2 linked regions of the Canis lupus familiaris genome follow. The protein of the gene in region 1 binds, or shares a complex with, the protein of each later gene. Links are inferred from orthologs where the notes say so. Each region holds a gene or a part of one and is shown on either strand. Other genes may lie near its edges. The genes, in order: AP2M1 and P2RX4.

What was found.
Region 2: the proteins of AP2M1 (region 1) and P2RX4 are in contact, whole or in part, in a crystal structure (PDB 2BP5), measured with the Rattus norvegicus proteins. The link is inferred for Canis lupus familiaris from reciprocal best matches to the Homo sapiens genes AP2M1 and P2RX4. Residues at the interface, in NP_446289.1 of Rattus norvegicus: Phe174, Leu175, Asp176, Lys203, Asn217, Leu316, Ala317, Gln318, Lys319, Glu391, Val392, Pro393, Lys400, Val401, Arg402, Tyr403, Leu404, Ile419, Lys420, Trp421, Val422, Arg423, Tyr424, Ile425; in NP_113782.2 of Rattus norvegicus: Val375, Glu376, Asp377, Tyr378, Glu379, Gln380, Gly381, Leu382, Ser383, Gly384.

What each region holds. Positions count from the first base shown.
Region 1 is NC_049255.1:17,238,148-17,248,882, forward strand, and holds the start of AP2M1 (AP-2 complex subunit mu), read left to right. Parts: upstream 1-4,687; 5' UTR 4,688-4,806; intron 4,807-6,849; 5' UTR 6,850-6,892; coding exon 6,893-6,966; intron 6,967-8,869; coding exon 8,870-9,135; intron 9,136-9,884; coding exon 9,885-9,967; intron 9,968-10,368; coding exon 10,369-10,374; intron 10,375-10,577; coding exon 10,578-10,713; intron 10,714-10,735. Other genes in the region: DVL3 (segment polarity protein dishevelled homolog DVL-3), read left to right, coding at 302-517, 611-1,021, 1,885-1,916.
Region 2 is NC_049247.1:8,126,784-8,136,725, forward strand, and holds the end of P2RX4 (P2X purinoceptor 4), read right to left. Parts: intron 8,561-9,942; coding exon 8,480-8,560; intron 8,379-8,479; coding exon 8,237-8,378; intron 8,138-8,236; coding exon 8,001-8,137; intron 5,590-8,000; coding exon 5,496-5,589; intron 5,354-5,495; coding exon 5,288-5,353; intron 4,911-5,287; coding exon 4,815-4,910; intron 4,321-4,814; coding exon 4,294-4,320; 3' UTR 3,776-4,293; downstream 1-3,775. UniProt on the Homo sapiens protein: ATP-gated nonselective transmembrane cation channel permeable to potassium, sodium and calcium. CTP, but not GTP or UTP, functions as a weak affinity agonist for P2RX4.

The sequences.
Region 1 (10,735 bases):
CAGGATTCTGCCTGGAGCATCTGAAGTGGGGTGGGGACTCAGGGCCTTCCTGAGGAAGGTGTTTCTTGGTGTTGTGTCTGCAGTCTCCCTCTCCACCATCTCCGGTGGGTGGCACAGGGTGGGTCTGAAGAAGTGAGAGATCTCTGACCTCTGCCTCCTCTCATTTAGGGAATAAACTTCCACTGCTGTTAGGTGTCATAGTAAATGTACCGACCTAGACTGGGGACCTCTCTCTCCTGACCTAGGGGTGTGGGGGCAGGGCACAGACCCAACTCATCTGGGCCTCCCCTCCCCTCCACAGACATGGCCAACTTGTCCCTCCATGATCACGACGGTTCCAGCGGAGCCTCTGACCAGGACACTCTGGCCCCTTTGCCACACCCTGGGGCTGCGCCGTGGCCCATGGCCTTCCCTTACCAGTACCCGCCACCCCCACACCCCTACAACCCACACCCAGGCTTCCCAGAACTGGGGTACAGCTATGGTGGGGGCAGCGCCAGCAGTCAGCACAGTGAAGGTAAGGTGGAGGGGGTGGAGGGTGGTGCACAGCCCCAAACTGCTTCTGCAAGCTCTGAACATGCCCCGCTGGGGGCCTGCCTGTCGCCTATAGGCAGCCGGAGCAGTGGCTCCAACCGTAGCGGCAGTGACCGGCGGAAGGAGAAGGACCCGAAGGCGGGGGACTCGAAGTCGGGCGGCAGCGGCAGCGAGTCGGACCACACAACCCGCAGCAGCCTGCGGGGGCCTCGGGAAAGGGCACCCAGCGAGCGCTCGGGTCCTGCCGCCAGCGAGCATAGCCACCGCAGCCACCACTCAATGGCCAGCAGCCTGCGCAGCCACCACACGCACCCGAGCTACGGCCCCCCTGGCGTACCCCCTCTCTACGGTCCCCCAATGCTGATGATGCCCCCACCGCCCGCGGCCATGGGGCCCCCAGGAGCCCCACCGGGCCGCGACCTGGCCTCCGTGCCCCCTGAACTGACCGCCAGCAGACAGTCCTTCCGCATGGCCATGGGAAACCCCAGTGAGTTCTTTGTGGATGTGATGTGAACAGGACCCCTCCCCTACTTCCGTCCCACCCCTACACCTGGGCGGCTGCGTCCCTCTCTCCATCCGTCCATCTTTTTTACTTTGTCTGGTACCTGAAAGGGAAATAAATTGAACTAAATTCAGGCGCGCTAACTGCTCGCTGGGCGCAGTGAGGGCGGGGTGCACCCACCAATTGCCGCTGCGGCCCCTAACCTGCCACCGGACCCAGCTTGTCCCTCTACCCACTAACCGCTGCGCAGGACTCCCAGGACCCTTCATGTCACTGGGACCCGACTTGCTGGTGCTGCTCCTTATTCCCCACATACACTTCAAGAATTGACCCCCGCAGACCCCCTGAGGGCCTGTTCACCCCTTTATCCCCACGTTTCTCCCCTCAGGAACCTCGCACCTTTCCTTCCAGCTACATCCACCCTTCATTAACCGCATCGCCTCCAGCATGTGTGCCAATCTCTTAACTTTTTCCCTGCACTACTGACAACAAAAAATACTTGCTTCATCCACCCCCCCTCTAACTGCCCAACCCACCCTACTCCACCCCAGCCACTGCTTCAGTGCTGCATCCTAGAGCTGTGGTCACTTCCAGTAACCATCCACACTATCCCAGCCTGTGCTAGCCTTTACTAGAAGCCCAGAAAGGCCTCCTAAGTTGCCTGAGCTGCTAGCAGCTTCCAGGAAGCATAACTGTTCTACCCCTATATCCATACTCCCCCATGCCTGCTGTATGTGCTGGTTCCATCAGACCCCTAACCCTACTAACCAGGCTCATCTCACCTCTGGGCCTGAAACATTTCTTTTCTTTCTTTTCTCTTCCCTCAATTTTTCCTGGGCCTGGAGCAGCCAAGAATTTCGGGCTGTTTGACTTTCTGTGAGCCCCCAGCAAAGGGAGGCCCAGCCTCCGAGGAGACCAGAAGCCCTGCTTCAGCAGCCCCTCAGGGCTTCCCAAGGATGTTCAGCTCCCACACCTACACTTCAACATGTTGAGTCACTAGGCTTTTGTGGAGGGCTCCAAACTCTCACCCATGTATGAGAGACTCTGTTCCCCTTTCCCGAGAGTGCCCCATCTCTCTCTCTCTCTCTCTCTCTCTCTCTCTCTCTCTCTCTCTTTCTCTCTTTCTCTCACACACACACATACACACATGTGCCTACGCAAGTTCACTTAAGCCTCAGGGCTGGTCCCTACCCAGAGGGCCGGACCCTCTCTCCCAGGTCGTAGGGCTGGTCCCGACTTCCCTGTCCCCTCCCTTATAGCCCTCAAGCCTCCCACACATGTCCCCATCATCCTCCTACCTGGATAAAGCTCATAAGCTGGATCTCAGGTTAGGCTCTGCAAAGGACTTCCCAAGCAACTGACAGGTTGTTCTCACCCTGCCCCTTACCCCACACAACCTTCTGTGATTTCACAATCACTATGATACCCCAGAGAAAGGTTGGGTAGGGGGACTTTTGGGAATCCTGAATGCTAGGTTTTATTTTTTACCTTATTCTCCAGTTTAAGCAAATCATGACTTTCTCTTTAAGCCTCTTCTATAAATTCTCCTGGCTGACTGAGGCATCTATATTTTTAGGACTGGGGTGTCAAGAGTAGGATTCAGTCTTAAGCTCCAGGCTCTGGGGCAAACCAGGGTAGAGATATTTTGGCATTTATTCATTTAACAAGTACTTCCTGGGGTATTTGGTGACCAAGGGCTGTGTTGGAGGCATGACTCAGTCTTGCTTACGTTCTAGGAGCTCTAGATTTGCTCCCAACCAAGGCCATGGCTTTCTCCCACCACTACAGGACTGGTTCCTATACTTTTCCTTTTCTGATTCTGCCTTGTTCAACTCCCTTGAGAATTCCTCCACTATTGCTCATGCCTTCTATGTTGGTGCTCCCAGTGTTCCATCTTTGGTTCACTTCTCTTTCCTCTAAGTTTACTACCCAAATGGTGTCATCTATCCTGATGTCCTCAATTGCCACTGATACACTGGTGATTCTAAAATGCCTATCTCCAGCCACAACTTCTCTCCAAATTTTAGATCTGTGTTATCCACTGGACGTCACCATGGACATATCTATATGGACTCAACTCATTTCCCCCATCAAGTGTGTTCCTCCTTAATTCCAACTCTGATGATCTTTAGCACAGTCTACATAGGCATACCAGCTAGGAACATTTATGGACTTAAATTCTTCCCCAACTCTTACTAGTCAGCATATCATATCCATTCCACTTCAACAGTCTTTCTTGAATATGGTCCTTCTTCTCCCCCCGCCTCTACCCTAATTCATAGGAGCACGGGATTTGGAGTCAGGTTGTTCTGGGCTTGAATCCCAGCTCTACTACTTTTTGGTTTCGTGATAAGAGAGTTACTTAATCTCTCTGAGCCTCAATTCCCTCATATGTAAAATGATGATAATAATACCTACCTCACAGGGTTGTTGTGAGGATTTAAATTAGACTTGTACGAAAAGTGCCTAGCACAGTGCCTGGCACAGAGTAGAATAGGTGCTCAATAAATGGTAGCTATTATTATTACTACTACTACTATTATTATTTATTCTAAATTGGTAGGGTATTATTGATTGAAGATAAAGCTTTTGGAAAGGTAGCAGTGAAGATCTGAGTGCCGGTTCAAGATTTAGAAATGCCTGTATTCAGTCACTTAATGGATTCACATGGTGACCACTGTTTGAGGAAGGCCAGATCTTCATCCTGCCACATTCTGGCTTCTAGCAGGAGGATGCTGGGACAGTAGGGTTTGTAACCAGGTTTGCCCTTTTTTGCCCTTCCTCCCATGATGGGCTCAGCACCAGTGAAGGCATAAGGGAAGCTCTCCGTACAGAAAGAGAAGAGCTAACATTTTCTTCGGGTCCTGTAAAAGTCAAGCAGGGCTTTCATATCTGAGGGTTTGCTCTGTCTTTTCTTCTCAGCTTGGGTGTGAAGATTAACTCTGTTCATTAGAGAAGGGATTTCAAGTTCCATGTCCAGCTAAACTTGCCAGCAGTTTTTTAAGCAACATATATGCCATCACTAGAAGGCACACAGGTCCTGGCCTCAAGGGGTCACATAGGTATGTGTAGTTGGGATAGAACAGACATTCTTGAAAAGCTTTGGCTAGTTTCTTACAAGTATTTGCCTCCTCCATCTTTGCCCTTTTACTTGGGTCTTGATCCCTGGGAAGAGGCTCACATCTGGAACAAATATTTGATGAAAAGTCTTGGGAAAATCAGAGCTGGTGTTAGAAAGCAGTAAATTTAGTGCAAACACTTCTGCCAAGTCGTGTGTGTGTGTGTGTAAAGTGAGCACAGCCAGTGTTCGGACTCCAGAGACGGAAAAGGCCTACAGCAATCTCAAGCTTAACAGATGGGCTTCAACAAATGGCATTAATCCTCCGAAGCTCTCCTAGACGCTGAACAGGATGGATTGCAGACTACAATTCCCAGAATGCTCGGTAGGGAAAATGAAGCGAGTGGAGCGGAGTATGATGGGATGTGGCCACGCCTATCCCTCCCCAAGGCACGCCTAACCCGCTGAAGGCAGTCGGTAGTTGTAGTCTTCCTAAACCTAGAAAGGCTAAAATTGTAAGCTAGAAGGCCGAAGGGCCTGACGGGATTTGTAGTCGGCTCGGTCGCCGGACGCGCACGCGCAACTGTGTTCGGGGCGGGGCCACGGCACTGCGGTGAAAGCCGAGGCAGCGGGCTGGCGAGCAGGGGGCGGGCGGACATCTTGGGATCTGGAGAGTGGCCGGGCGGGCCGAGCAGGCGGCCGCGGACGCCAGGTAAGCTCGGAATCCGGCGGAGAGTAAGGGAGAACGCGTACCCCGCTACCCAGCTTTGCCCTTCCCTGCACTGCGCTGCGCGAAAAGCTGCCCACAGCCGGGAGGGGCCTCAGCCTTCTGATCTGGAGCTGACGGCGGGGCGGGGGCGCCCGGGGCGCGGTTGCAGGGTGGGCAGGGAGCGGCGCCCTCCACCGGCAGTCCGGCGCCTTCCGTGACAGGGAGACCTCCTGGGGTCCCCCCGGAGCCAGGATGCCGCGCGGCGCCCCCTTCCTCGGGATCGTGACAGCCCCCCTGGTGCCTTGGCGCCGCCTCCTCCCAGCGCAAGGACAATTCCCCCATCTCCTCGACGGTGACACCCCCTCGGGCCGTCTCCCTGGGCTGTGACAGGCCTCCCACCAGCCGCACCCCCTCCCCCCAGTTGAGTGACACCCCTCGGCTCTTCTTCCTCAGACCTGTGACAGCCCCCGCAGCCCCGTGGAGCCATGTTCATCCCCGCGATGTCTTGCTCCCCTAGACGAAGAGCCCACCCCCCGTCATGCCTCCACACTTGAACCCTAAAGCAAGTTAACGCCGCCCCAGCTTTCCCCTATTCGCCACTTGTCAGTCTCCTCCCTGCTGTTTCAAAGTCTTGACCTTTGCCACACTGGAAACTCCTTCCTCCAGATGTCCCCGTCCCCCCCCCCGCCCCCCAGCCCCCAGCCCCAGCCCTCTTGCTGCTGCAGGTTCACCTGACTAGACCGCCTGGCTCCTTCTGCCCGTCCTTCCCCTTAGCTCAGTATTCCCCTCCTGCCCTGGGCCCCACCTCCGCTCCTTCGGTGCCCTGCGGCCCCTACCACTTGATATCTGTGAACTTGCTTCTTTGCCCGGGGCTCTACCTCCCATTTTTCATTTCCTTTCCCAGCCTTTTTTGGGACTCTGGGGTGGAATGTGTCCACCACCACCTTGAGAGACCTCTCACTGAGTTGGGGAGACCCTGATGGCCTCAGTAATAGGGCTTTATTTTCCAGTTTAGAAAAGTCTGCTAAACTCCCTCTGCCCTGTAAAATCAATACCAGAGCTAATTCAGGAAATCTAGAATTAAATTAACCCTTTTTCTCCTTGCAAATATTTTGACCCAAATAATTTGGATAATGCACACCTATTCTCTGCCCCTTCCTTATAGGTACTCAGGCCAGAAATGAGTTATGTCATGGTTCTGGAATCATAGAATGTCAGCTGGATTGATCTTTGTGTTTTATAAACCTGTACTCCCACCCCCTTATTTTTACTGCACTTGGGAACTGAGAGGGATCCTCCCTTTTTGAAAGGGAGGTGGTTAAAAATAACTAATAAGCAGCTTGGGTCATTGAAGTGTAGTCGGCCAAGGCTGGGCCCTTTCTCCTCTGCTCTTTTGCCTGCTTATCTGACTGCCTGGGATTGGTTGGAGCCACACTCCAGGGTCTGTGTCAGGGCCTAAGGCCTCCCTTGTCTCCTCCCCACACCCTGCACACCCTTTCCTGGAATGTTTAGACTTCTGTGAATTAGAGAGCCACAGGTTCAGGCCCTGCTGTCTTCTCCGAAGGGTTAGTGGAGCCTGAGAGACCGGGTGCTCCTAAAGCCGTGCCTGGGGGCCCCAGGCCTGAACCAAGTGGAATAATTCCTACCGCCATTCCTGCAGCCGCAGGCAGGCCTTCCCAGTGACTCACCGGCTAGAGTCTGAGTGAGAGTCTGCACAGGAAGGGGCCAAAAAGGATCTGTGCTGAGCTCAGCACTGAAAAGAGGGGGAGGGGGCTACACTCTGGGCTCAGCCCCAGGAAAGGGAGGGTCAAAATGGCCTTAGAATCCTGGGCCCAAGTCCCTCTCCATTTCTTTCTCCTTTCCAGTGTGAGATAAACAGGAACTGGAGCCTGGCTAAGGGGAGGGGCATGCCTGGGGAGGGCTTCAGGGTCACTTACTGGAGGGTTGAGTCAGGAAAAAAAGCCCAGCCAGTGACCTGCACAGCCCCACAGGGGATGTTGGCAGAGGTTCTGAGGCCTTCCCTTACCCTGCCTCCGCCTGTCCTAGGTCTGTTCTCAGAGCGATGGGCCTTGGAGACTGAGCTGCCGCCATGATTGGAGGCTTATTCATCTATAATCACAAGGGGGAGGTGCTCATCTCCCGGGTCTACCGAGATGACATCGGGTGAGTCCCCTGGCTGAGCCAGCTGTGTCCCCACCCCTCATCCCTCCTCCCCAGCATGCAGGACCAGGTCCGTTCCTACCAGAGACTGGACTTTGGCCACCCCCATCCCTCGCTGCATCTTAGAAGCTCAGCTAATACAATCTGGTTCCCATTAGGTCTGGTGGTATTGGCCTGGCAGCCAGTTATTGGCCAATAGGTGGGACCTGTGGAATGGTGTGGCCCCCCACAGTCTTAGGAACTCTTGTCCTTCCTGCCTTCTCCTTTCCTTAGTGACAGACCTAGTTGCTAGAAATGAGTGCTTTTGCCCTGGTAGATGAATTCCTCCCTTGAGGAGGAGGGAGATCTTTCTCCAGGGGGTGAAGTTAGTGGACAGGCTAGTGGTACTAGTCCATCTAAGTCTTGCTCTCAAAAGCCCTTCTCACGGTGAGAGCCTTCACTGAATTCTCTTGAAAGCTTCTCCAGGCTGCCAAATCCTCTCCTACTCCCTTTCTCAGGAGGAGGCAGGCTGCTGACTCAGCTGTTTTCAGTTCCTCTGGGCCACTCCTAGAAGAGAGGTTGTGAGCAAGCTTGGGGCACTCTCCGGGTCACTGAAGGAAGGGCAGGGAGGCCATGCTGCCCTTCCTGGCCTACCAGAGTAGACCCGGAATAGCTCCTTGTTCTAGGTCCCTCAGACCTTAGCAAAGAGACACAGCCTGCCTTCTCACTCTGCCCCACACTGCATGCCACTATTCTTTCCTGAATGAGAGGACATGTCCTAGCCTCAGCAGCTCTAATGAGATTAGGCATCTCTGGTTCATGCTGCCCTGTTTTTCTTCCTCCAAGAGCTTAGGTTAAAGAGTTATAGGATGGGCCTGCTGCAGAGCCCAATAGCTTCTTGGCTCCCAGCTCCCTGGCTAGTGGGCTGGCCTGGCCTTTGTGGCTGTTTGTCCATTGGCTGGTGGTAGGGCATGAACTAGAGTTGTGGCAGTGCCTGGCTTGCCTGAACCTGGCTGGCTATACCCATCCACACCCCCTCCTGCCTGCCCTGGATGGACCTGCTTAAGCCAGGGCACCTACTGTCTTGCATGACTTGCTATGCTTTCCACCCCTTGCCTCTTGCTCGTCTGCTTCCACTTCATGGTGTGTGCAGCCTACCCCAGGATGTTGTGTGTCTAATCCTCTCTCTCGTTGCTGTCACTCTCCTCTTCTTGCTGGCGTCATTTCTCTCATCCCATCTCATTGGCTGCCGTAGCAATAGGTAAGCAGCCTGTCAAGCTGCCGCCCAGGCACAGGTGGGTGGGGGGCCCTGCCCCCCATCATTGTTTTCTTTGTCTGTTTTCATTCCCTGAACTTGTCCTGGAATTGGATCCTGGACGGGAACAAATGGCCCAGCTCCATGGCCCCTTGGTGCTTCTTCCTTAGATTAGATTAGAGCCTACTCTGAAGTTATGCTGGCTTTGCCTCACTTCTAGAAGAGCCAGACCTCCCACTGGTGGGATCACAAGTGGGAGAACTGAAGAACAAGCAAGTTGTCTTTGTCATTTGGGCCTCGAGCTTACTGAGAAGCTGGAGAGGTGGCAGCTGGGAAATTGGGACCTCAGCAGGCCTCAGGCCTCAGCATCAGGAACATGCCTCCTTAAGTGTGATGGACTTCACTTTATTAACACTATACCTGTTCTCCTGTCATTCCCACCTGACTTACCTGTCTCTGGTGGCCTTCAGACACCAGCCCAGCTCTGGTCCTATTCCCATGCTGGGAGCCACAAGGGAACTGCCCCAGTAGTTTAGGCTTTGGCTTCAGATTCATAGTACGTGTCAGACTTAAGCAGTGAAGGGATGAAAAGTTGTTAGCAGCTGTGGTTGATCCCCATGGAGTGGGGTTTGCCTGGGTGCTGAGCAGCCCCTGTGTACTCTTTTCCCTTAGGAGGAATGCAGTGGATGCCTTTCGAGTCAATGTTATCCACGCCCGGCAGCAGGTGCGCAGCCCCGTCACCAACATCGCTCGCACCAGTTTCTTCCATGTTAAGCGGTCCAACATCTGGTTGGCAGCTGTCACCAAGCAAAATGTCAATGCTGCCATGGTCTTCGAATTCCTCTATAAGATGTGTGATGTAATGGCTGCCTACTTTGGCAAGATCAGCGAGGAGAACATCAAGAACAATTTTGTGCTCATATATGAGCTACTGGATGGTGAGGCTGGCAGGGCGGTGGGCCTAGGGTGGGGATGAACCTGATGGGGCCTAGCCTGGAGGTAGGAGCACTTGTGAGGTTCCCTCCAGTGCCCTCTCAACTTTCTTTCCTGAATATCTGCTCTTTTGAGCCCTGAAAAGGCCAGTCTAAATTCAGCCCCAAAAGAAGCTCTGAAGTAGAAGAAATAGTGAGTGGAGGTGGGGAGAGGGGGCAGAGAACCAAAAGATTTTTCAGGGGGCTAGGAACCTATCTGGGGCTTGGTAGCTGGACCTCCTACAGTTAAGCATGTTTCCTTCTTACCTTTGTAGTTTGGGCCTTAGTTCACTGACTGTCCTTCCAGCTTTCTATCTCAACAGGCTCTGCCTCAGAGCCTGAAGGAGGTTGAGATATGACCGGCTTCTGGGGTTGCATTATCTTTGTTCCTTTGTAGGGTATGATTGAAAGGAACAGAGTCTTTCTACCTTCCCAGGGTCTGTTTGTTTTCTAAGGACTCAGAGCTTCTTGATCTCTCACCCACTGGCCATAAGATTCTTCTGCTCATTTTCTCTGTGAAAAATATCTGATGTTTTAATTGTTGTCTTATGAAGCACAAATCTCAAAGTAAATGCTACAAAGCTAGAGGACATTGCTGCAGATGATCCCACACTCTTCTAGAGCTCTGCTGGCCAGATTTGTCCAGGCCAAGGGAGATATTGGACTGAAGGAGCCTTCAGCTTTTTCCAGGGCTGATAGTTCCCTTCCTTTTGCAGAGATCCTGGACTTTGGCTATCCACAGAATTCAGAGACAGGAGCACTGAAAACCTTCATCACTCAGCAGGGTATCAAGAGCCAGGTACTCCCTTGTATAGCCACAGCAAGGGTTGGGCCCATCCTCCTCAAGCTCCCCCTAGCCTTGTCTCCGCTCACTCAAGAGCCCGCCTCTACCAGGAAGCACAGGCCTGAGCCCTCTACTGTGATTGCAGGCCAATTTTGCTGCATGTGGCCCTCCACCCTAGGAGCAGCCGACTCAGCATCTCTGTTACTGGGAATAGGGTTCAAACAGTTTCCTTCTGTACTGGGGGAAGGAAGGGTGTGGGCTGCCCTGGAGGCCTGGTGTTCCTCGGGGAGAGAGCGTGGGCCTTCCTCTAGGATACAGGCCTTATAGCTGCCCTCTCCTTCTCTTCTGCCTGCCTCTTCCCGTCTGTGTCCCCCTACTGCTTCCGGTTGGCATCACATTGGCCCTTTGGCCTCCAGCATCAGGTAAGCTGTTCCCTCAGCTTCTACCTTTACAGCTTTGATCCAGTTTTCTTCGGGCCCTGCTTCATGGAGCTTATGAAAGAGATGAGTTACAGGATGGGGACTAGAAGGGAGGGGGAGTGAGAGTGGAGTAGGGACAGAGACGGGATCATTGAAGGTGGAGAGCAATGAGGCCATTAGTGTTTTTCTCTGTCCCCTCTGTGTAGACAAAAGAAGAGCAATCCCAGATCACCAGCCAGGTGACTGGGCAGATTGGCTGGCGGCGGGAGGGCATCAAGTATCGCCGGAATGAGCTCTTTTTGGATGTGCTGGAAAGTGTGAACCTCCTCATGTCCCCACAGGGTGAGAGCCCTCTCGTGATGAA
Region 2 (9,942 bases), on another chromosome or scaffold:
TCTTTCCGGAGCCACAGATGGCTGAGCAGAGTTCAGGGGGGAGGAGAACAGGAAGGCCTCTGCCCTGGGAGATTCCCGGTGCTGTGGACTCCAGCTTGGGGGAAATGGTGTCAGTAACTGGCCTTGGAGGACATGCTTGCCTGTAGTTTCTGATCATCATTGGCAGGAGGATCTTCTGCAGAGAGACAGCAGAGCAAGACCTCGTGCCCCCGCCACCCAGAGCATTCACAGAACCTGGGTGTTCCTGGCTTCCACAGATCTTTGTAAGCTCTTGACTGTCATTTAGCTCAACTTCTCTTGCTATTTTATAAACAGTATAGAATTAGGGGATGCTGGTTTCCAAGAGCAAAGGACAGCCGTCAAGATGGAGGGTTGTCTGGCCTGCTTTCTTTTTGTGACCTGGTACTTCCTCTTGCATTCCTGCGCTTGTTTATATTTATGGGCACCACCCCTTCTGGAAGCAGCTGGGGTCTGGTTAGTTTGCAATAAGCACCTTGCAGTAGTTAGAGTCCTTAGTCCCCGCCTGTCTGTGTGGACTCTGGTCTGGCCGAGTGGCTCGCCCAGGGCGGGCTGACAGCATGCGGAGCTTCTGCAGAAATCCTGTTTACACAGTTGCATCGGGTAAGAACATTTCTTCTGCCACAGAACTCCCCACTTAAGGTTTCCTGTGTGGAATGTCGGCTGTTTAGGTGGGTGGGTTCATAACTTTTTTTCAAAGAAACACCAAAGAAAGCTGTGTGAAGGAAGCGCCACCCCCCAAAAAGGATAAGCTGAGGGCTGTACCATCATGCGGTAGAGTTACCATTTTCTTGGAGCACAAACGTTGGCTTTTGAGAAGCTGGCTCTGTCAGGAAGGGGGAGAAGCCATCATGGGCAGCTTTCCCAGGTGAGCAAAAGGGGTGCCCTGGCAGTTTCTTCCATTGTTGGCTCATCTGTGGGACCAACTTGGTGTAAGCAACCTGGGGCCTGCACAGGTTCTTGCCCCAACATCCTCTGTCCTGCTCCACTTCTACCATCTCTTCCACAGCCCTCCCAGGGGCTCCGAGAAAGCCTTAGCTAGCCCCTTGACGGCCCTGGGGGCTGGAGAGGCTGTCTCCCCAGTGGTCTGGCTTTCCTGTGAGTTAGGGCTCCCACCCTTTCTGGAACAAAGAGGCAAACACCTGAGCATTGAAGTGGGCTCAACCTGTTGCTCTCACTCATCTTCCAAAGCAGAGCTTCCTATTGCTGGGGGGAAGAACTATGACCTCCACTTGTTTCCAAGGTGCTAGAGAAGGTTTCAAGGTCGTCAGTTCCCATCCTCTTTGCAGCTTTATGGGCCGAGTTTCGCAGAACTGCTAACTTTTCTATTCTGTGTCTGATTTAATGCCCGATGCTTCTGTTTTATTCCTGATCCTTTCTACTATGCATTTTCCTTTTATCAGGTGTACAAAGTTAAATACTGTGTATTTATCACTTAAAAGTACATGAATTTAAGAGAAAAATAAGCCTTTGGTGTTTTTCCACAGATGTTTAAGCTTCTCTGTAAACTTGAAATAAACAGCAAAATGGTGCAAAGCCTAGGCCTTTTGGGGATATTTTTGCTGGTCATTGTTTATAGATATCTCTAGGACATCCATCCTTATGTCTGTTTTTCTTCCTTTGTGAGATCAGATGTCCACGTCAGTATAACATATTCAGCATTATATTATTCATTGTCAGTGTAACCATGTCCTAGTATCCTGCTACTGAAAGTGTGGTCCCTGGACTGGGAGTGTTAGCATCTCCTGGGAGTGGGGTGGAAATGCAAGTTCCCAGACCCCATTTAAAGAAGATCCCCAGGTAACTTGTGTGCCCACTGAAGTCTGAGAAGCACTGTTTTAGCAGGCAGGTAATTGCTAGTTCTTCTTTGGAGACCAACCAGGTGAGCAGCTACGGGAGCAATATTAATTACACATGGAACACATCCTGCGAGCAGGCATGTTCTAGGACACATCACCCCACAAGGTAGGTATTTATCCCATCTTATGGATTATTACCTGCAAAGTGAAGCTCAGGAAAGTGAAGTCAGTTGTCCAAGGGCTCCAACTTTGATAGCAAATGCAGTGTTCTACAGAGCTTGGACAGTTGCAGGTTGGTTTGTTTTAGTTTTATTTATTTATGAGAGACACAGAGAGGCAAAGACATTGGCAGAGAGAGAAGTAGTCTCCCTGGGTGAGAAGCCCATGCAGGACTCGATCCTAGGACCCAAGGATCATGACCTGAGCCAAAGGCAGATGCTCTACCACTGAGCCACCCAGGTGCCCCAGTTGCAGGTTTTCATGGCATTTGGAGACTTAGAACTGATGCGTCCTTCAGGCTAGAGGCTGGGGGTTCCCTGCACTCCAAACGTGAATCTAGCCCATGACATTGCTTTATTGGCTTTGAGCTCAGGTTTTTTGGTAAAAGGGATGGCAGATGAAGTCTGAAAGCTCCTTGTTCTGTTGTTGCAGAAATGTAACATTGGAATACTGGTCTTTAAGAGTCAAGAGCAGGTGTTCCTATCCAAAGACTCCACTGAGAATTGAATGAAAGCTCTAAGACATGCAGACAGGTGCATCACTTTGCAGAGTTTAGGAATTCCAGAGACTGGAAATCTGTCCATGGGTGCAAAGGTGAAGGACCCCTACTTAAGCAGCAGCCTGGGGAATGCCAGCCAGTGGGAATATAGCTGAATGGTGAGTAAAATAAGCAATCCTTTCCCCATCCTGCACCCCAGCTGGCCTGAGCATTACATTTGAGAAAAAAGGAGGCCAAGAGAAGTCTCCCCCACTCTGTTAACTATCACTTCTTAGCCTGCCAGATGAAAAACTGTCCCTAAAAAATTCCAGCTCCACTTGATCCATGTGTTTCAAGCAGGCTTTTTTTTTTTTTTTTCTTTCTTTCAAAAAGGCAGCACGGGGGTTCCTGGGTAGCTCAGTGGTAGAGAGTCTGCCTTTGGCTCAGGTTGTGATCTCGGGGTCCTGGGATTGAGTCTTGCGTTAGGCTCCCTGCAGGAGTATGCTTCTCTCTCTGCCTATGTCTCTGCCTCTCTCTGTTGTCTCTCGTGAATAAATAAAATCTTTAAAAAGAAAAAGGCAGCACAAGCCAGAGCTTTTTCAAAGGGGTTTGTTAAATGTTTGTTTTGTTTTTGCCCCCCCCCCCCCCGCCCCGAAGCAAGAAAAGCCCAGTTTTATCCAGCAGAAGCAGGCACTTCTAAAATAAACGTTCCCTTTAGTACTTGGAAATGAATTCGTGATATGGGGGGGAGGGGGGAGACAAGCAGCTCCTGAAGACTTGTTGCAGAATTAAGTCGGTGTGAAGGCATAGCTAGAAATAACTTTATTAACATTTCAAAGTAGGTGTAGGTGGTGCTGCTTGTAGCTGGAGACTTCTGGAAAGCAAGTGGGGAGGGGGGGGAGGATAAGCCATGTTCTTGTTACCTAAAATTGTGTCCTCCATAGTGTAGTGTCACAATTATAGGTAAAAAAAAACAAAAACAAAAACAAAAACCAAAAAAACCGCATGTGCGGGTAAGACAAGTAGTCACCACGGTACAAAATCTTGCAAATTCTGTAGGAACACAACAACCTCAGAAAGATCAAAATTCTTAAGGCCTTCAAGAGAAGGTCAAGTCAGGGGAAAAACACCTAAGCTCCAAAGACAGACTCAAGAAGTTTTTTTCTGAACACCGTGAACTGGGACAACAGATGGGTTTACGGGTTGAAGTAAAAGAGAAGGGAGGAAAATTCTAGTTACATGCTATGAAACCAGGCAGAGATTGAGAAAATCATTTTAATGTTTGGTCCTCGACCACATCAATATGCCTCTTCTTTCAGAGGATATACAGACTCTGTCTTGTGACAGCATGGATGGGGGAGGGAAGCAGCAGCCCAGGTGTGCTCAAGGTCTAGTGACCACACCTAGCTGTCCTTCCTTCCCTTGTAAAGTGCTTGAACAAGGCTGCCTGACCACAGCTGGGCCTGTCTTGCAGGGAGCTGGAGCTGGGAGCCCCTGAGGAAGGCTGGCCCTAGGTGAGGCCCCAGCCCCTGCAGTGGCAGTAGCACTCACCACTGCCCTTGGGCCAGAGGTCACCTGAACATCCCCAAGTTGAGGCAACCCACTGTGCAGGGTGGTTTACTCTGCACATCCTACACACAAAACAGCTGGGTGACCATGATGTCCTTGTGCAATGGAGATGGACTCAGACTCTGGAACCTTCCCTGAGGTGACATAGCAGCCTTTTCTCCGTGCTGTGCTCTGATGAGGACTGTGGGGAGCCCAGGTATGGAGTAAGCATCACTGGTCCATCTCTCCACCAAGACCCTGCAAAGGACGATATGCTTATCATTGACTGATATGCTTATGGATAAATGTGTACCCACCATGTGCTGCCCACAGGTAAGCCTGGACCATTCAGGGCAGGTGTGAGCCAGGACTTTTGGGCAGTTCTTCACAACTGAACATATACAGGTTAGTCCTAGTGCAGGGGGTCTCAAAGCGTGGGACCCAACCCCTCTTGCTATGCGAGGCAAGTTCAAGTAGTGTGGGGTTTTGTCATAATATTCATTATCATAACTAACCTGAGATGTCACTAATTAAAATGAGGTTAGATTTTAAAGAGTGACGGTCTAGAAGTGGAGCAGAGAATGAGTGGTGTGCAGCCGCCTGGGCTGACCACAGGCCCAAATAGCACCACCTTTGTGCTCGGGCCTCCCCTAGTTGGCCCAGTACTCAGGGTGCTCACCACTGGTACAAAAAAGGTGGAGGAGGCAGGTGTTTGGGCCTTCCTGCCTTCTAGAGTTCAGGAGGTGGCCTACCTGCTCATAATCCTCCACATACTTATATTTCTTCTCCCGGTAGTAGTATCTTTTCTTCATGCAGTAGAGGACAATGATGTCACATAGCACTGTTGCCTGAGTGTGACACAGGGCAAGAAAGAATGAGCCAAGATGCTTTAGTTTATTATTCTATGCATGCCCCTTCCCAAAAAGCCTGGAATCTTTCAAAGAAAGGAAAGGCTTCAAATAAATAAATAAATAAATAAAAAATAAAGAAAGGAAAGGCTTCACCTCTCAGGAGAAGGCAAGGCCCAGAGAGCTGTGGTGTTGGAGAAGGGAAGGTGAGGTGAGGTGGCAGCAAGGGCAACAAGCCTGGAGGGTCAATTCTAGAAAAGAGTTTAGGGACAAGGGGAAGAACCCGGATGCCAGTGGAGGGGCTCATCTTGCTGTGCTAACTACTGCTGAGGAGGGCTCCAGGCCCCGGGGGTGAAGGAGCAGGCTAAGTCACTCACCACCCCTAAGAGCGCCAAACCAGAGCCGATGTTGATCATGGTGGGGATGATGTCAAATTTCCCAGCCTACAAATGACAGGAGAAAAAGAAAAAGTTGCAATAGAGGACATAAGCAGGTAAAAGGTGAGGGAGGGGGCCCCTCGTCCCTGGCCAACCCAGAAGCCTAGGTTTGGACCAGAGCCCTGACAGGAGCAGGAGGCCAGGCTACCTTTCCGAACACTATGATGTCGAAGCGGATGCCGTAGGCCTTGATGAGCGTGCGGCGCTCAGCACCAGTCAGGTCACTGTAGTACTTGGCAAACCTAGGGAAAGGAGGATGGAAAAAAAAAAAAAAAAAAGAAAGGAGGATGGGTTAAAGGCAGAAGGCACAGGGCAGAGACAGACAGGTGGCTGGATCCACCCTCTGGGTCTCGGGTGGGGGACATTAGAGCAAAACTCCCGGAGGCCCTCTGGAGCCAGCACTACCCGCTGGACAGATGATACCTGAGCATCTGGGGCAACCCCCGGCCATTGTGGGTCACACAGTGTGATAACTGGGCTGTTGGCAGGAGGATGCCAGAAAAACTTTTTTAACATCACTGTTGCCTCCTATGGCTGAGCCAGAACCTCTCACGCTGAATATCCTCCATATCAGAGCTGAGTCGCCTACCTGTCTGAAGGAGATCCTGGCTACTAACAGAATGTGGCCAGGCAGCAGCAAACTCCAGGACTGCCTGTGGGCAGGGGCATGGAGCCGGCCATGAAACTCCACAGAACTCACAGACTCAGCACTGGACTTTCTTTTAAAAGACCCATTGACCCATCAATGGATAAATGAATAAAATGTGGCATATCCATATAATGGAACACAATTTGGCTGTAAAGAGAGATAAAGTAATGATAAATGCTACAACATGGATGAACCTAAAAAAAAAAAAAAACCAAAACAACATGATACAGAGTGAAAGGAGCAAGTCACACACCGTGTGGCTCCATTTATATGCAGGTCCAGAGAGACAGGAAGTAGACAGTGGTTGGCAGGGACAGAGGTTGACGGGAGGATACCGGGGATGGCTGAAGGGTATGCGGTTTCTCACTGAGGTGATGAAATGTTCTACAATTGTGATAGTCCTACAGCTTCATGGCTAAAAACGATCTAATCCCTTACTTTAAGTGGATGAACTATGTGGTATGTGACCTATATCTCAATAAAGCCATTGAAAAAACCCCACAAGGGGGAGTGGTGATGGTGGTGAGCACTGTTGAACCATGAAACCATTTGCTGCCCGTGTTAAATAGGACACTGGTTCAGAGAAGCCTAAACTCTTGGCCTGCAACGGTCTGGCCCAGAGCCTCCACATCCTGGTCGGGCCTGGGGAATTCAGGTGGGGCCTGATGATAGCGGAGGTCAGATGCATGGGTGCCCTTCTGGTGAGGGCCCCCATCAGCTTCTCTCTGTCCTGAAGTTCTGACCCACGCTTGAGGTTTTCCTCAATAGTTTCTAAACTGTAACAGTAGAGAGAGAGCAACACACATCTAATTCCTTTCCTAGGAAAATTCAAATATCTCTCCTAGTATCAGTGAGCCAGATGGGTCAAAATGATAGCAGACTGCATTTCTGGACAGTCTTATGATCCCTTGTGTCTTTGATTGTACATGTCACCACTAGAGGGAGACAAGGGCAACACAAAAGCGCCTCAGACCTACTCAGGTGGCCCCTGGAAGGGCTGCTTTGTTTAAGAGTGGTAAAATGTGCAAAAGAGGCCACAGAGGGCACATGAAAATGTACATGGCTACAGGTTTTGCCACCTCATGGAAGTGGCAAACCTGGCCTTGGCCCCTTGTCCCCTCCATCAAATTACTAGCTATACCAGGCTGAACACCATCACCCAAGATTTGTGTCCACCTGAAACCTGTGAATGTGAAGTGGAAGTAGGGAAATCAGGTCTTTGTGGATGGAGTGAGTTAAGGTGAGCTCATATTGGATTAGCTTGGATTCTGATTCAATATGGCTGGTGTCCCTATGAGGAGAGGACACACAGAGCTGCGCAGAGGGAAGAAGGCCATGTGACAACAGTGGCAGAGACAGGAGTTATGGGTGTATAAGGCAAGGAACACCGAACATTGCAAGGAGCCGCCAGAACCGGAGGAGGCAAAGAAGGTGGCTGGCCTTGTGGACACCTTGATTTTGGGCCTCTGGCCTCCAGATCTGTGAGAGAGAGTACCTTCCTGTTGTTTCAAGCCACCCACTTTGTGGTAATTTGTTAAGGCAGCCCCAGAACACTAATATATGGTACTCTGAGCAGGGAAATAGCAGTGAAGGCCTTTCCTGAGGCTTAAACCTGTATCCCCAGTACCCTGGAGATTCCAGGGCAGGCTCGGTCTTTGAGAAATTAATTCCTCACCCACTCTTCAGAATCAGTGAGCCAGTCCTACCTGAGGTTGGCCCTGGGAAGCTCAAGTAGCCAGCCTCTCTTGGCTGCTCTGCATATTATCTCAACATGATTTCTGAGATAAGGAGGGGCACAGGGGGCTCTTAGGGGCCAGGATACTGCCAGCACAAGGCTCTGCTTGAACACTCTCCCTGGCATACAGCCTTCCCACCTGTCCTTGGGGGACCGAATGAGTGCTGGTCTTGATGGGTATGGACCATCGTGGATGGGGACCAGGGAGTGATCCAGCTGCCGTCACCCCCCCCCCCCCCAAGAGAACTGGGACCTAAGCTCACACCTACCTGAAATTGTAACCAGGGGACACATTGTGGTCCACATCCCGGGTGTCCAGGCGGCGGAAGGAGTACCTGGGCAGGCAGAGGGAGGAGGTTCTGTCCAGGTTGCAGTTCCAGTTGATCTGAATGCCCATGATGCCTCCCTGTGGGGTGTGAGCAGAGACAGAGCAAGGTTTCCTCAAGGCCCATTCTAGAATGAGAGGTGTTGAAGACTGTCAGAAAATCCAGGGGCCTGTGTCTACCTCGATGGCCATGTCTTGGAAGCTGTGCCCTGCGCTCTCCACTATTTTGCCAAGACGGAATATGGGGCAGAAGGGATCTGTTACAGCATCATAAATGCACGATTTGAGGTAGGTTGTAGTGATGTTCGGAAGAATATTCCTCCTAAAGTCAGGAAGAAGCAGAAATGAAACGAAGAAAACCTCCAAGTAGAGTCAGAAGTTACTCTAAAACTCTGTGAACTCACATGGCTGGCCACCACTTACTTGCTGAAATTAAATTTGGGATACCAGATGTTGTTCTTAACCAAAAGAGTGAAGTTTTCTGCAGCCTTTAGAAAAGCAGGTCTGAAAAAAAAATCATAGCATATTGTTAATAGAAGTACAAATATACATATACTCCCATTCTTACGTAATATTTTTTTAAATTTTTTTTAAATTTTTATTTATTTATGATAGTCACAGAGAGAGAGAGAGAGGCGCAGAGACACAGGCAGAGGGAGAAGCAGGCTCCATGCACCAGGAGCCCGATGTGGGATTCGATCCCGGGTCTCCAGGATCGCGCCCTGGGCCAAAGGCAGGCGCCAAACCGCTGCGCCACCCAGGGATCCCCTTACGTAATATTTTTAAGAAGCATATGCACATGTGCCTTACAATGTCATTTTGTCAAGAAAAAAAGTGAAACACCTCAAGCATTTTTTACTGTCCTCTGCATAAACACTAGATCAGCAGAGACTAAACCAAGCCTTTCCATTTCTTCCTCTCTTGCCTCTTGCAGAAGGCAGGGGGAATTTAAGAGCTTGAGGAATAGTTAAGGAGGGTGATGCCTAGAGGCTTCCTGGGAAACTATTCAGCCTGTAGCTGTGGGGTTTCAGAGCTCGCTTCCCTAAGGCATTCTCCATTCTCCCTGGGAATGCTCTACAGATCTGGTTTTACAAGTAAAGCAAAGGTAAATTCACTGAGAAGGTAAATCCTGACCTCATCTCAAAAGTACATAGAAGTCACGTGTCTGCTGGCACAGGGCCTCGGCTCTCAAGTGCCACGTCAGCTCCTGGCTGACAGTACAAGTTGAATCTGTCTCCAAGGGGACACCACATCTTTGATGGGTTTCTACAGGAGAATCCAGTGCTGTAGGCAAGCTCCTTTGAGTGTGTTCCCCTGATCCAGGTGGAATCTTTGAGTTTATAAACTGTATCAATAGTCTACTCAACCCTGAGACACAGCAAAGAGAGCCGAATCTGTCACTGCTGATGACAAGGAAGGCCTTGACCAAGGCACTTTCCCCAGGGCTTCAAACTCCCTCATCTCTGGATCAAGAGGGATGCATTGTATCAGGGATTTCTGAACTTTCCCTCCACATCTGTTCATCTCATATGCAATACTTTTTTAAAAAAAAAAAGATTTTATTTTTAAGTAATCTCTACACCCAGTGTGGGGGCTCAAACTCCTAATCCTAAAATCAAGAGTCACATGCTCTACCCACTGAGCAAGCCAGCCACCCCTCATCTGCAATACTTTAAAGATTGACTCACTGTTTTAAAATAATTGAGGTGGGGGGATCTCTGGGTGGCTCAGCAGTTTAGCGCCTGCCTCCGGTCCAGGGTGTGATCCTGGAGTCTCCGGATCAAGTTCCGCATCAGGCTCCCTGCATGGAGCCTGCTTCTCCCTCTGCCTGTGTCTCTGCCTCTCTCTGTGTGTGTCTCTCATGAATAAATAGATAAAATCTTTAA